2 linked regions of the Diceros bicornis minor genome follow. The protein of the gene in region 1 interacts with the protein of each later gene in a biochemical or structural test. Links are inferred from orthologs where the notes say so. Each region holds a gene or a part of one and is shown in the gene's direction. Other genes may lie near its edges.

Region 1 (7,766 bases):
TGCAGACACCCTGTTTTCTGACCTTACATTCAGAATGGAGTTAGTGAGGATCCATAAGAATTTGGTGTTCATATGATTCCACTTATGTGACAAATTGGTTCCTGAAGAACTACATGCAAAGTAGATTTCTTCTTTTTCATATATTCAGACATATTTTTATTACACTAAAGCAGTTCCCTATTTAAAGGCATAGTATTTGAATCAGTTTGTAACATGAGTTTCTTAGAGGGTAAATAAATGTCTTCATCACACTTACATGCTTCCTGTTGAAATTCATTTCTCCATCCTTCACATTTCCAACAAAAATTCTACCTACATGAATGTGCAGCCCCACCAGTTTATAATCTCTCTGAAGATACCTTGATTTTTTTCATCCATGTATCCCCCAGTGGAGTAGTTCTTAATCAGAGATGCACGTCAGAATTTTCTTGAAAGTTTTTAAAAAAAAATACACAGGCCTGGATCCCACACCAAACTTGAATCAAGAGAGGAGAATGGAGGGTACATTTTGGAAACATTCCCTGGTGATTCTGATCAGCTGACCTTTAGCTAAGAGCTGGCAGTGCTAAGAAGGGTATTTGAGAAATGATTAGTGGAATGAATTCTTCTACAATGTCCTAGAATCCTCCACATTTTTAAGGCCCAATTCAATGCCTCTGTCTGTTCAGCATCCCTCATTCTTGTCTATGCCTATCTCTATCCCTCCCTCATTCCCATCCATGCCTCTCTCTGCTCTTCTACACTGTTATTATTGTTCAATAGGATAACCCTCTCTGTTTTATCCTGCCTTCTGTTTCCTCTAGAGAGAAACTGTGAACTACTTAAGTGTAGGGTCTATCTTGTATTTCTTTTTATCATCTTCTTCCACCCTCCCAAGTCCTGTATATCCATATTTTATTTCCTTTCCAGCACTTCTCACTACCTAAGATTATTTTGTGCATTGTTTCCTTGTTTATTACGTGTTTCCCTTTGATAGAAAGTAAGGTCCTTAAAAACAAGGACATTATGACTTATTCAAAGTTATATTCACAGTGCCTAGGAGAGTATCTAGTTCTCGAGACATATTTGATGAGAAAACAAACTACCTAGAGGATTCAGTTTTTTGTGTAAATGTAGTTAATTTTATATGACATTTACTTAGCTTCCATTGTAAATCATCACTGCCTTCACATCATCAAATCATCAACTGCCTTCAGTCCCATCTGCTAGTCCTTGCTCTGCAAAAGCCATCATGTTAATGCTATAAAGAGCAAGTAATTTGATTTTACTAGTATGTCAAGGCACCCAACAGTCAAGGTCATTTATGGTGTCTTTTTGAAGGAACTAGAAATTGTATATTCTTTAGCATGGATACATTCCAAGGTGAAAAGTAGAAAATTATGGACATCTAAATGGAGCTAATGCATCTGTTAATAATACAGAATATGTTACTTATACATTAGAGAATTTCTTTCTTTCTTTTTTTTTTTTGTGAGGAAGATTGGCCCTGAGCTAACACCTGTGCCAGTCTTCCTCTATTTTGTATGTGGGATGCTACCACAGCATGGCTTGACGAGCTGTGTGTAGGTCCATGCTGGGGATCTGAATCCACGAACCTAGGCCGCTGAAGCTGAGCACATGAACTTAACCCCTACGCCACCAAGCCAGCTCCTAGAGAATTTCTTAATTTTAGTTTAGGGGTTCGTGTGTTGACTCATAAAAATGCCCATGATATAATACTTACTCAGACCCTGGCACTATCTGTAAAAACTCAATTATATGAAGAAACACATAATTATACTTTTGGTTCTATAGCACACCATTTAGCTGAGTCAAAGTGAGTTTGTTTCCACTATACATATAAAATATTATCAGGATCCAGATACTAGGCACCAAAAGGAATGGTTGGCTAGGACCATTTGCCCGTAGGGCTGCCCTTAACCTTACACTTGGTGAGGAAACCACCGATTTATCAGGGTAAAGAAGAGCTGCTTTTCTTCTTGAATTTCTTAAAATTTTTCCTCCTCATCTCACCTTAGCATGCAGAATGTAAAGAATCCCACATTTACACAGGGTTGATTTCCTTCTCATGCATATATGCCAGAATGCCATGAGTCATCAAGGGGTGCTGCCATTGTGATGCAATTGTGATGACGCCCCATGTTACCCTATGATGCACCATAAAATGTTCAAAATGGTTAGTCTTAATGGGAAGTAGGTACAAAGTTCATGGCTTGAAAATATTGAAGGAGATTATTTCACTTGCTCTGTGAGAAGCTCCATTTGTAAGTGTCACTTAGTTCTTCAATGTGATTAATATAATGTAAATATTATAATGTCAACATTAATAATAATAGTTACCAAACCATTTATTGAGCACTCACCATATGCTAGGATATGTGCTACTTGTATATGTATCTTATTTCATTTGATCTGCTTAACAGCAGGTAGGTATCTTTATTCCTATTTTCAGATGAGGAATCTGAGTCTTTCAAATATTACGTAACGTAGTATCTGGTAGAATTTGTATATGAAAACCCAATTGGTTGAATCTAAAGCTCATACCAAGCACTAGCTATTCTGCCCCTATGATGCTATGTTATATTCCACACCAACATAAATTATCACCCTCTACATTTCCAATGGGAAAAAGACCAAGCAATTTCCAATGTAAAGAGCCCACTTACTTCAAACAAAGTAAAACATTTCTGATGACAGATATGCACAACTCACACTTACTTGCAATATGAAGAAAGAGTAAGAGAAAGGGAAGAACAGGACTAAAACAAAATCGAAACCTATGAGAACAGAAAGGTGCGACCATTTAGGCTGACAGCTTGGACTCTAAACAAAATCTCCACCATCTTTTGAAATCTGTGGGCAAGGCTCTGAATGTCTCTGAATCACAATCGCCTCATCCACCAAAAAAGATGACAATGCAGGCCCCTGTTTCACCCTGGAATGGGCAGTGCCATTTTTCTAGCCTTATTTTCCATTTTCGGTTACATCTTGTCATCAGGTTTTCTTTCCATTTAAACTTTCTGCTGGGATGGCCATTGAGCGGCCTCTCTTACCTTTCCACAAAGCTTTCTGTGATATGCATGGGCACGATTAAACTGCATCCTTGTTTTCCACAGCATTCTGAATGCTTCTTGTCATCTAATCTACCAGAATTACTTTTCTATGTGTCTGGCCCACACCATACTGAGCTTTGGAGAGCAAAGAGCTGGTCATCATTTAATCTTCCTCTTTACTGCCCCCCTGCAGTAAAATAAACAAAACAAGTGGATTACACAAAATGTGCTCTCAACAAATGTCAAATAGGAGAGAAGGCATGATTCATGACTGCTTATTTCATCGTCCTAAATGTACGGTATTATTTAGCCTACTCACTACGATATGGCAATAAAAAGTAAGTAGCTTTAGAAAAGTTTCCCAGAATTAGGACAAATGCACTATGACCCACATTCCTAAAAAGTCTGTTTCACTAGAACAATCAGAGAAGAGATATGTATCCTCAGGACAAGAAAACACTTAGAACAATGCTTTTTTCTCTTAAGGCAAGAAAAATCCAGTTCTAGAGTCGTCTCTGCATCAAAGTTAAGTCAAATTAAGCAGCTGCCTCCTTCCCTCTTCATTTTATCTACTTGTCATGATTAAATACCCTACTAGGTTCTAAATAGGCCATCGAAGCTCGTCCTTTTATCTCGGGATTTGAGAGGCACAAGCTTGGGCACCGCCCTTCATCCAAATGCCAATATGCTACCAGTCAAGACTACTCCTTTAGGAGGCTAAGTATTGTTCTCTCCACAAACTCTCTTTTTAAAGATTAGTTTAGTCTAAATTCCTTTATGAGAGAGGAGAGAGACTTCAGAGTCAGATTAATTTAAATCCATCTGGCTTCTACCATGACCAGCTGTGTAAAGTCCTCCTTGCTTTGTAAAGCTGCCATTTGTCCTCCCTGTAAAATAGAGAAAATGATGCTTACCCGGAAAGGTTTTTGAGTGAGATGGTGTAGGTAATATTTTTAGTGTACAGTTTGCCAGTAATAAGTGGTCAACAAACATAAATTTTGATGAGATCCCTGGGCCACATAAAGAAATGGGGAGGGAGGTGGTTTGAAATTCTGGCCACTTCACAGCAGTGGGTGCGAAAGAGCCCTTGGGTGAGATATCTCCCATCACAAACAAAGCAGCTCCTCATTAGGAGGCGCTCTCTCTAGTCATTTAATGAACTTCATTTACCTTTGTTAAACACGTCTGGCTGTCATTGTTAGGTCACTCTTGGTCCTAAAGTACTTTTACATCTCAATATGGAACTTTTCTATTTAATCCCTGTTATAATATTAAGATCAACCAAAGCGTATACCAAGCTTTTTCAGATAGTTTGAAAAACTGAGACTTGCACCTGTCAGATAGATGGGAGCTCCCCAACTCCACCCCCGCCCTCGATTATGGATCGGGTCTTTCTCCGGCTCGCAGCGAGGGGTTTGACTTTCATCTCCTCCCAGCGGCTCTGTAGGCTCGCGGGGGTGGGGCGGCCGCCGTCCGTGTGTGGTTTTGGGGTAGTAACCTCTTCTAGGGCGGCCGCCCGCCTCCACCCTCCGCGGCGGCCGTGACGTCGCGGGCGATGCCTCGTCCCCTCCCGGCCTATAAAGCGGCAGGTGCGCGCCGCGCCTCCGGAATGTTCGCACACCTTGTGCCTGCGCCCGGGTCGGAACCGAGAGATCGGAGGCGAGCTCCAGGGGCTGCAGCCCGCGCCCGGCCTGGCCTGCGGGCAGAGCCGCACACCCCGCCTCGTCCCCTCTCTCCCACCCCCTCCTCCTCCAGCCCGCAGCTCCGGCCGAGTTGCCCCAGAGACCGCGACGCCGCCGCGCCGAGGGACCAATGAGAGCCCCGCTGCTGCCGCCGGCGCCGGTGGTGCTGTGGCTCTTGATCCTCCGCTCAGGTGAGGACATCCCCGCTCTGAGCTGCGCGGCGCTTCTCCCACGGCGGGCAGAAGCTGGCGCCTCTTGAATGTTGCTGCTGCTTCTCCTAAAACACCATACACAAAAAACAAAAAAACGCCTTTTGGCGCCCCTAACTCTGTCCCGCGGGGGACGGGGGGTGATCAGGGTATCTCCCTGTTACTCACTGGGAGAAAGAGAAAAACGGGTAGGTGTCTCAGACGTTCCAGTCCAGGAGGAGGGTGCCGGGAGAATCCCTGTACTTGTACTTTAATCCAGCTGGAGGAGAGTTGAGAGATCCTGTGATCCAAACCCTTCGTTTTACAGAAAAAGAAACCGAGATTCAGAGGGGCAAAGTGATTCCCGCAGATCTTAGAGCAGAGGAATTGAGTCCTGGACCCAGCAGTGCTGCCTCCTGCCTAAATTCTCCATCTCCTCTGTCTAGTGATCTTGTCTTTGCCTTCCTGGAGGGCCTCACAGTGTCCCAGGGAGAAGTTAGAAGCACCGATCTGAGGCTGCTTTAGTGAGACCTCAAAGATAAAACAGGGGCTTGAAACTCTGGGCCCCAGATCTTACCTAGTCCCTGGCTTCTTCTGTATGTCAGAACAATGATAGCGAAACAGTGGCAATAAGAATCAGTCTTATCAACTACCATTTACATTACGTTTTACATTTTATATATGTAATCTTTTTAAAACGTGAGCACGTGTTAAGAAAATCTGATACTTATATCTAGAACCTGTCTACTAAAATGGGACAGGTAGCATTCTAGAAAACACAAATGCATTTGATATGTGAAGTGATGGGAATATTTAGACATTACCTGTTAAATAATTATATTAATTTGCCTATTTGGCAGTTTTTTTTTTTGTTTGTTTGATGTGGAAATTAATGTAGACTATCTGTGGAAAAGAAACCTTGATGAAAGAAGCTCTGTAATTGGAACAGCTGAGTTTGCTCCTTGGCAAAGTGTGGAGTTGCTTTCGTAAGTGACTCAATCACAAACAATAGCACATGTGCAATAGCTGCTTTGATATCAGAAGGTAAATATTTCTCCTGAACTCAGCTGGCTGATGAGAAAGGCTCTCTGCTTTACCTTTTCTGTTTTTCTCTTCTTTTTTCTCCCACAGCCCATTTTGCTGCTGGATTGGACGTCAATGACACTTACTCTGGGAAAGGGGAACCATCTTCCGGGGACCGCAGTGCTGATGGATTTGAGGTGACCCCAGGAAGCAAGATTTCCCCTGTGAGTGAAACGCCTTCTGGTAGCGAACTGTCCCTGGGGATCGACTATGACTATGCAGAAGAGTATGATAACGAACCACACATATCTGGCTACATCGTAGATGAGTCAGTCAGAGGTGAGTAGAGGATAAGGTGAAAATGTAGCCTGTGAGATGTGTGTGGATGAGCGAACTGCTTCAAAAGAAAAGCCATTCCTTGCATCTTCTAGTGGCTGTCTTGTGTGTGCGTCTGCTGCATACCCCCTGGGTAAGCTACGAACGGAGACGGAAAGGCATATGTGGGCACATCCTATGTCTGGAGCTCTAACAAGTGTTTTAGGTCTGTTAAGTCTAATCTTCACAACAACTTTACAAAGTGGGAATTATCCTTTTACAGATGTGATAATTGAAGCTCAAAATGATTAAGTGTTTTGTGCGAAGTTCCACATCCAGCAAGCAGCTGAGCCATAATGAGAACCCTAATCTGTTTGGCTCCAGATACTGTGCTCTTTCCCACTGTGCCACATGACATAAACTCCATCCTGAGAGAGCGGTGTAGACAGCAGTCAGTGCTACCTACATCTTATCTTAGCTTTTGTATCTACTCCTCACCACCACTCTTCCCTAAGTAATTGCATTTTAACACAAATAAGGGAACAGAAAAAAGTAATGGGAAAGGAGCAATTGGACTTTTAGCCTTTAAGTACTGGGTGTTGAGAGACTGCTGATTCTAGTGATTATAATAATAGTATAACCTTCTGGAAATATTAAAGGACAAATATGCATGGATTTTATATTGCTAAAATTATGATTTAATCCCGAATCCCATTTGTCAGTTAAATAATAGTGACCCATAATTTTCTTCTCTTTTACTGTTATCTGATCTTTAAAAAAGAGCATTTGCTTAAAATGAGGGTACCAAAGTAAGAGGTAAGTATTGTTCATTACCCTCATATTACTTTGGAGTTTGAGGGCAGACGAGGTCATCAGTAAATCAGATCCACATATCCTAGGAGCATCCACTATGGAGGCAGAGCATAAGGCCCTTTCTCTCCTGACCTTCATTTCCTTGACTCCTCTCCCTCTGGCTGGCTCCCAGAACTGGTGAAGGGAGCGCAGGTGATACCATAGGGACAGTGACTGGGTTAAATGGCATGTGGGAAAAGCTTTACTGGACACTTCACTTTTTACTCCCTTGCTTCAGAACTTGTGCTTTAAGTAAGGTGGGCAAGGGGTCCATTTATAATTTTTATTTTTAGAGGGATGAGATTAGACCATCAAGATTCTAGAAACTGTTCTCTTAAAGATATTTCAAGTTGTTAACGTCTGAAAAGGCCAAATAAATTGTTAATAGTGAAAATGGCTAGTGCTTACAACTGCAATGCAGTGTGAAATAGAGTTGGCTGAACTCCTTTGAAAGGCTGTAAAACCCATGGGGTTAATATCTATTGTAGCACTTCAGCATAGTGACTATTCATCCCTGTCTAAAATTTGTAATAGATCTGATAAAGTGCAGTAATAGCCATTTAAAATGTTTCTATTAGAGGACTTATTCTAACTTGTGGTACTTTTTTATCATCAGAGGAAAGTTTCAGTATAAAAATTGCATAACCACCTAT
Region 2 (6,851 bases), on another chromosome or scaffold:
AGTGGTGAGTGCCAGCTGGGTCTTGCCCTGGACTGGGTGTTGGGCAGCTTAGGGTTGTCTCCTGGCCCAGGGTCTGGGCATGGGGGCAGAGGGATGACCACAGCAGGGACTGATGAGGTGAGGTGTTCCCTTGTACAGTGAGGGGCTATCGGGAAGTTTGGGTTAGGGGGTGTGCAGAGCTGAAGTCTGGCCCTGGGGTGGGGCCGTGGGCTAAAAGCGCTGGTGTTAGCCTCGGTTAGCTCCCTGTCCCTCCCCTCTGCCTCCTTCCTTCATTCCTGCCAACGGGTTGAGACAGGCCAGGGCTGCGTGGGGAAGAGAGGATTCCCTCCAGTCTCCAGGCAGCAAGCTTCTGAAAAAGCAACAACGATGGCGCCAGGCAGGCTGGCAGGAGCCCAGAAGGGCAGCTGGGCACCTCTGAGGTTCCTTATTCCCTGGGATCATGGCCCTTTCCTCTCCTGGGACCCCAGACACCCAGTTCCAACCCTGGGCTGTCACAGTTAGATCTCAGACAGTGCTTGGCTCCATCACCCCCTTCCTCCTATCTCCCCACCCCCTAGACACAACCCGGCTGGCCATTTGCTCCATAGGTCCCAGCAGAGGGGGAAGCGTTAGGGAGAGAGCCATGGCCCTGGCAGCCTTACACTGCAGGACTCCTAACCCTGGGGGAATAAGGAGTGAGTCACTGGGCTCACATGGAAACCACACTTGCCTTCCTGGCTGCCTTAGGGTTTTCCCAAGCTGGAGGCATCCTTCCAAAAGGGCAAAGGGGGGTGCCAGTGGAATTGGGGGGTTGGCAATTTCAAGAAGGGCTTCCCCTCTAACAGAACAGGGTACATCTTTGCAGAGCCTTCTGTCCCAAGACCCCCAAGAGTCAGGGGGATGGCCTCAGGTGGGGCAGATCACAGATTGGTAAATACCAGAGCCAGCTGTCTTGCTGAGGTCCCTGATGAGGCCTATGAGGTGGGATTAGCCCCATTTTACAGATAAGGCACCTGAGACCCAGAGAGGGTAAATGGCTCATCTGGGGTTGCACAGCTGGTGAGAGGCAGAGAGGACCCCAGAAGTTTCTCTTTTGGACGCAGCTTCCCTGAGTTTGGGGAAGGAGGGACCGTGAGGGGGTGGTGGTGAGGTGATGGGGGTTGCTCTCCTACTGATGCTCCCTGAGAATGCCCAGCTTCTCCATGCACCTGAGGACACGGACGGACCAGGGTTCTCCTCGAACAAATTCCTACAGAAGGAGCTCTGCGGTCCTAAAGGGGAGGAGGCTTCTAGGACCAGGGTGCTGTATCTTACGGGGGGTTGCAAAGTGGGACTGAGCCCTCCTGGGTGTCAGGGATGAGAAAAGGTGGAGGGAATCAGGGAGTCCTGAGGGATCCCCGGTGTGGGGGGTGCAGGTTGTGGGGGGGGGCACTCTTCCTGAGGGCTTTGTAGTGATGTTGGGGAAATGTCCAGGAAAATCATAACGGGCGACAGTAGAGAAATAAATTAGGAGAGGTGGGGGTGGTCAGGGAGGGCTGCTCAGAGGAGGAGAGCTTGTGGGACTAGAAGCCTGGCAGAGACTGAGACAGGTCTGGAGCAGTCCTGGGAAACACGGAGGGCAGAGGTGAGCAGAGGGGTGGCTGGGGCCTCTGCTGTGAGTCGCACCCTTGTTCTGTGACAGTGAGGATGGCCAGGCCTCTGGAGCAGGCAGTGGCTGCCATCGTGTGCACCTTCCAGGAGTATGTGGGGCGCTGCGGGGACAAACACAAGCTCTGCCAGGCGGAGCTCAAGGAGCTGATACAGAAGGAGCTGCCCACCTGGACCCCGGTGAGCACTGGGGTGCCCACCCCACGGGGAAGCACTGCTTGGACTCCACAAAGAGAGACCTGGGGACGAACTCTGCGCACAGGGCAGCAAGAGGGGTGGAGGCTGGACTGTGGGGCCGGGACTCTGGGAGAGAGCTGTCACAGCAGGTATCTCAGTTTCCTCATCTGTAAAATGGGATGACAGTCATCACCCTGCTGCATTGCAGGGTTGTCGGAAGGATGAGTGAGATCGAGGTGAAGAATGTCTAGCACATAGTAGGCACTCAGGAGCAAATAGTAGGTGCTCAATAAATGATCTGAGAAGGAGGATTGGGGAGTAGGATTGACATGGGTGAGTTATCAGAATAGGTAGGCTGAGGTTGGCCCCCAGAAGGGGCGTGGGTTGGGATGGGTGAGACCAACCAGGAGGGGAGAGGGTGGGAGGGAAGCAGTGCACCTATGCGTGCACGAGGTTGTTGTGCCCTCCTCAACCTGCCTCCTCACACCCCTCTCCCTGCTCCCTGCACAGACGGAGTTTCGGGAGTGTGACTACAATAAATTCATGAGTGTTCTGGACACCAACAGGGACTGCGAGGTGGACTTTGAGGAATACGTGCGCTCGCTTGCCTGCCTCTGCACCTACTGCCATGACTACTTCAAGGACTGCCCCCCAGAGCCTCCCTGCTCTTAGTAGCCTCTGCTCCAGTGGGCAGGGCTGGCCAGCAGGCAGGCGTCTGCTGGGGCCTGCTCCATCTCTGCCCTGAGGTGGTCCTGGGCATGTCATCCACTCCCCACCCCACTCCTGTTCCCTCTCCACTTGGAATCTCCCAGGTTTGCCCCTAATATGTTAACCCATTTTACCCAGGAAGCCAGGAGACGTGAGGGGACCTTCCCCAGGATCACAGCTAGTGACGGGTAGAGCAGCCAGCTGCTGCCTCCCTCCCGTGGCCTGTGATGGGTTTGAGGCTGTTAAGGACCAGCGGAGTGTGCGCATGAATGAGACCACGCCAGGAAAGGGCCTATTGAACTCCTAATAAAGAACTGGTGGCACTTGGCTTGGTTTGGTTCTTCTGCGATAACAGCTGGGGCCTCGAGTCAGAGTCCTGCTGAAGTCTTCATTCCTCTCTGGCCTTTTCCACGGGAGGACAGGAGGCTGAGGGCAGTTTCAGACCATGCAGAAATGAAATGGTCTCAATCGGCCAGCAAAAGGGGGTGGGGTCAACACAAGGACAACATCCAGGGGAGGCTGGGGGGTCTCTCTCTCTCTCTCTGGGGTTTTTGAAGAAGAAGCTCCCTTGGGCTGTCAAGGAGGGCGAGAGGCAGCCTGAGGTTCCCTGGGGTGGAGCTCAGTCCTCGTGACAGGATGTTCTGAGCAGGAGGGTGGGGCCGTGGGTGTGGGGTGGGTTTGTTCCTGCCCAGGGCTGAGGGAGCCCAGAGCGCAGCACTAATAGGATTAGCATGTCTGAGGTCTGATCAGGGTGTTGCTCCCACCCAGGGAGGGGGAAGGAGAAAACTTGAGGCAGACCCCATCCCTGAAGCCACAGCCACCTGAGGGCCTTCACCTCCCACTTCTGACCCTCACTCAATCCCTGAGTTCATACCCCACCCTGAGAGGTTAACCCTGATCCCTGCCTCCCCCATTTTGTGTGATTTCACCTCTAACTTTCCACGTCAACCTGCATTCTTCATTCCTGACACCCATCCCAGCTCCAAGCTCCCCCTCCTGACGCTCTACCCCTCCCACCTCTCTCGGTACCTTCAGCCAGCCCTTCCCTGAGCCTCCCCCGAGGACTCCCACTCTCCACTCCATCACTCCCTCATCCAGGACCTTTCTCCACTGACATGCCTGGCTGGTCCCAGCGTCTCCTTTGGGTGTTAGCCTGATCCCTCTCCCAGAGCCCCCAGGCCCCCCCTGGGCTTCACTCAGCACAGCAGAGAGCACTCTAGGGAGGGGAGAAGGGCAGAGTGAGTCGTCCCACAGCACTGAGCCTGAGGTCCCCTCCCTTAGTTTCTGGGCAGCCACATTTCCAGGGCAATGTCCCACCTGTCACTCACGACCCCTGGATCCCCTTTCCAAGCTGCCGGCTGGGACCACTCCCTCCCTGTCCCCCACCCCAGGCACAGACTGCCCCTTCCTCCAGCTCCCTAAAACTCAGGCTGAGCTGTGCTCACTGGGGGGTTGCCCACTCCACTGAGGCCCCCACCTGTGCCCACTGGGGCTCTCCCATTGTCCATCTGTATCTGTGCCACCCTGAGGCAGGAAGCTGGGTTTCCAGGCTGGGCTGGTGGAGGGGGCCGCAGCGCCTAAACCACATCAGCCCACAGCAGGAGGGCTGTCTTTCACTCTCCCCCATCCTCTATCATGGGCAGGGCCTGGCTGGGGTATAAATAGGTCAGACAGCTGGGCTTTCCCCACTCTTCCTCTCTCCCCAACCCTCTGTCCTCAGTGCTTCCTCTCTCTTGGCCTGGTGAGTTGTGGTTGCCTGACTGGCACGTAAGGGGGGTCAGGCTGAGGCTCAGGGCAGAAGTGGGGACTGGTGGGGGGCAGATGTGCTAAATGGGTCCAGATGTGAGATTCTGATGTGGAGGCTCTAGGGTGGGATGTGTGTGTGTGCATGTGTGCGTGTGTTCGCATGTGCACACATATGTGCACGTGCAAGACAGAAAAAACAGAAATGTGTGCAGGTGGCTGGATTTGAGCTGTCCGAGTGGCACTGAGATGCTGGGGTTTGCACGTGCTATTGTTGTAGCATGTTGTGGTGTGCGTGTGACCTGTGGGTATGCACACTGGTTTGTGTTTGCTGGGTTGCACAAGCCGGTGTGCACCCTTGGGTGTGGGAGGCAAAATGAAGGCAGAAGGTGACTGTGGGCTTTTGTCTGGTGGTGTCCTGTGAGCCTCTGCCCTGCACCCAGCAGCCCAGCCCAAGGGAGCTTGGCCGTCCCACCCCTTCCCTGTATCCCTGCCTCTGCCACCTCACCCTGCCCCTCCCTACGCTAGGCTAGGCGCTAGGCCGCTGTTTTTTTCCGCTGCAGGCCCCTGGGCAGGCCTCCAGCAGCCTTGCCCAGTGCTGGGAGGGAGAAGGATTGGCCTGGGTGGGGCTGCTGTGGGCTGAGCTGTGGGAGTGAATGGACTGAATAAGGGATGGAAAAAGCGATGTCGTGGAGGCATGGCCTGGGGGAGGCACCGGGAGCTTGCTGCCTGAAACCCAGAGCCTGCGCAGTGGCCCTGCAAATGTTCACTGCCCGAAGCTCGCATTTCCCACTGTGCATACTCTCCCAGCCAGCAGCTGAGCCCCACCTTTCCGGGCTCCCCCTGTGGTGGAAGCAGGGTCTCACCAAGTGTTCCTGGAGGGATGGGAGTGGGGTGAGGCATTCTGAATACATGGCTGGGGGTGGGGGTCGGGAAGATAAGGGTGTCTCTGTGACTCTGCCCCCAGATCCCGACTGCCACCATGGCGTACCCCCTGGAGAAGGCCCTGGATGTGATGGTGTCCACCTTCCACAAGTACTCGGGCAAGGAGGGTGACAAGTTCAAGCTCAACAAGTCAGAGCTAAAGGAGCTGCTGACCCGGGAGCTGCCCAGTTTCTTGGGGGTGAGTGGCTACTGCCTGGGACCATGCCCCATGTGGAGCATTCCCCACAGAGGAGGGCCAGGCCCTGGGAGGCACCAGCCTTTTTGCAGAGCGGTAGCTGTAGTTGGCATCTGTCACTGAGATGGGGAAGTGGGAGCAGAGCTTGCTATGGCTGCCTGAGGTGGAAACATGGCAAGCACCCACCACTCACTTCCTGGCCCTCAGCGGAGAGAGGGCTGAGAATGAACAGGTAGGTTACGGGCCAGACACTCTGCCGAGTGCTTTGCACAACTTAACTGAAGGGAATTTAAGGCTCAGAGAGGTTAAGTAATTTCCCAGGGTAGTCAGTGTGCACAGCTGAGACCGGCAAACCAGGACGGTCCGCCTCTTGCCGTCACCGCAGCCATGAACAATTTTTGAGTTTCTATTTGGCTTGTGGATGTGAAGACGCAGTTATGGAGACACTCACATGTCTACAGACTTCCCCAGAGCAATCACAGCTTCCATCTGTATCAAACTTTATGCAGTTTATATATTGCTTTCATGACCATTGTCTAATTGGATTCTTAATTTAACCCTGAGGGAAGACATTGTGGTCTCCTTCTCCAGCTGCACCCAGGCACTCAGGGTTCCTCATCTGAGGGGTAAACCTCCTCCCACCCTAGTTTAGCCCTGAGGGCTGGACTTCCAAAACTGCCCCCGAGGAGTGGCTACACTTTCCTGAGCTCTGATCTGGAGATGGAAACCTTGTCTAGTCTTGGCTCCACTCCCAGGCTGCTAGTGTCCACCTGTATCCTCTTCCCCCTCCAGAAAAGGACGGATGAAGCCGCATTCCAGAAGCTGATGAGCAACTTGGACAGCAACAAGGACAACGAGGTGGACTTCCAGGAGTACTGTGTCTTCCTGTCCTGCATTGCCATGATGTGCAACGAGTTCTTTGAAGGCTTCCCTGATAAGCAGCCCCGGAAGAAATGAAGGCTCCTCCGATGTGGGTGGGGGGGCCTGCCAGCTGGGGTCTTCCCTTTTGGCAGTGGGCACGGTGCCTCACCCTGGCTCCTCCAGATGGGTTTGTGATGCAGAGCAAGTTCAATAAAGATTCTTGGAAGCTTTGAGGCTGATGGTCTGAGAGATTCTGGGGTCGTGTGGTGGGGGCTGAGAAATATGTCGGGGTGGAAGTGGGGAGCATTGGGTGTTGAGCTGCAGTTTTGTGGACAGCAGACAAGTGAAGGTGGGAGAGGGACGTGGGGGTGACTGAGGGGGTGTGTGCGCACGTGTGTGTGCATGTGTGTGTTTGTGTGTGATAGAGTTGACTCTGATGGGGCCGAAGGCAGGGAGAAAGGGACCCCCAGAGGCTTGGAATGCCCCGGATGTGAGATCTTAGCAAGCCCACTCCCCACTCCCCACTCTCCGACTTTGCCTCTGGCGAGACCTATAACTGAAGCTGGAATGCAATTGAAGGTCACATCTACTCCTCGTTGGGGTCTGGAATGGAGTC

What was found.
Region 2: the proteins of AREG (region 1) and S100A4 form a complex in vitro, tested with the Homo sapiens proteins (2 studies listed by IntAct, with this or other methods). The link is inferred for Diceros bicornis minor from reciprocal best matches to the Homo sapiens genes AREG and S100A4.

What each region holds. Positions count from the first base shown.
Region 1 is NC_080747.1:60,207,098-60,214,863, forward strand, and holds the start of AREG (amphiregulin), read left to right. Parts: upstream 1-4,758; 5' UTR 4,759-4,865; coding exon 4,866-4,926; intron 4,927-6,054; coding exon 6,055-6,285; intron 6,286-7,766.
Region 2 is NC_080743.1:57,785,128-57,791,978, reverse strand, and holds S100A4 (protein S100-A4), read left to right. Parts: upstream 1-4,146; 5' UTR 4,147-4,252; intron 4,253-5,221; 5' UTR 5,222-5,236; coding exon 5,237-5,377; intron 5,378-6,166; coding exon 6,167-6,331; 3' UTR 6,332-6,335; downstream 6,336-6,851. Other genes in the region: S100A3 (protein S100-A3), read left to right, coding at 1,666-1,806, 2,314-2,475. UniProt on the Homo sapiens protein: Calcium-binding protein that plays a role in various cellular processes including motility, angiogenesis, cell differentiation, apoptosis, and autophagy.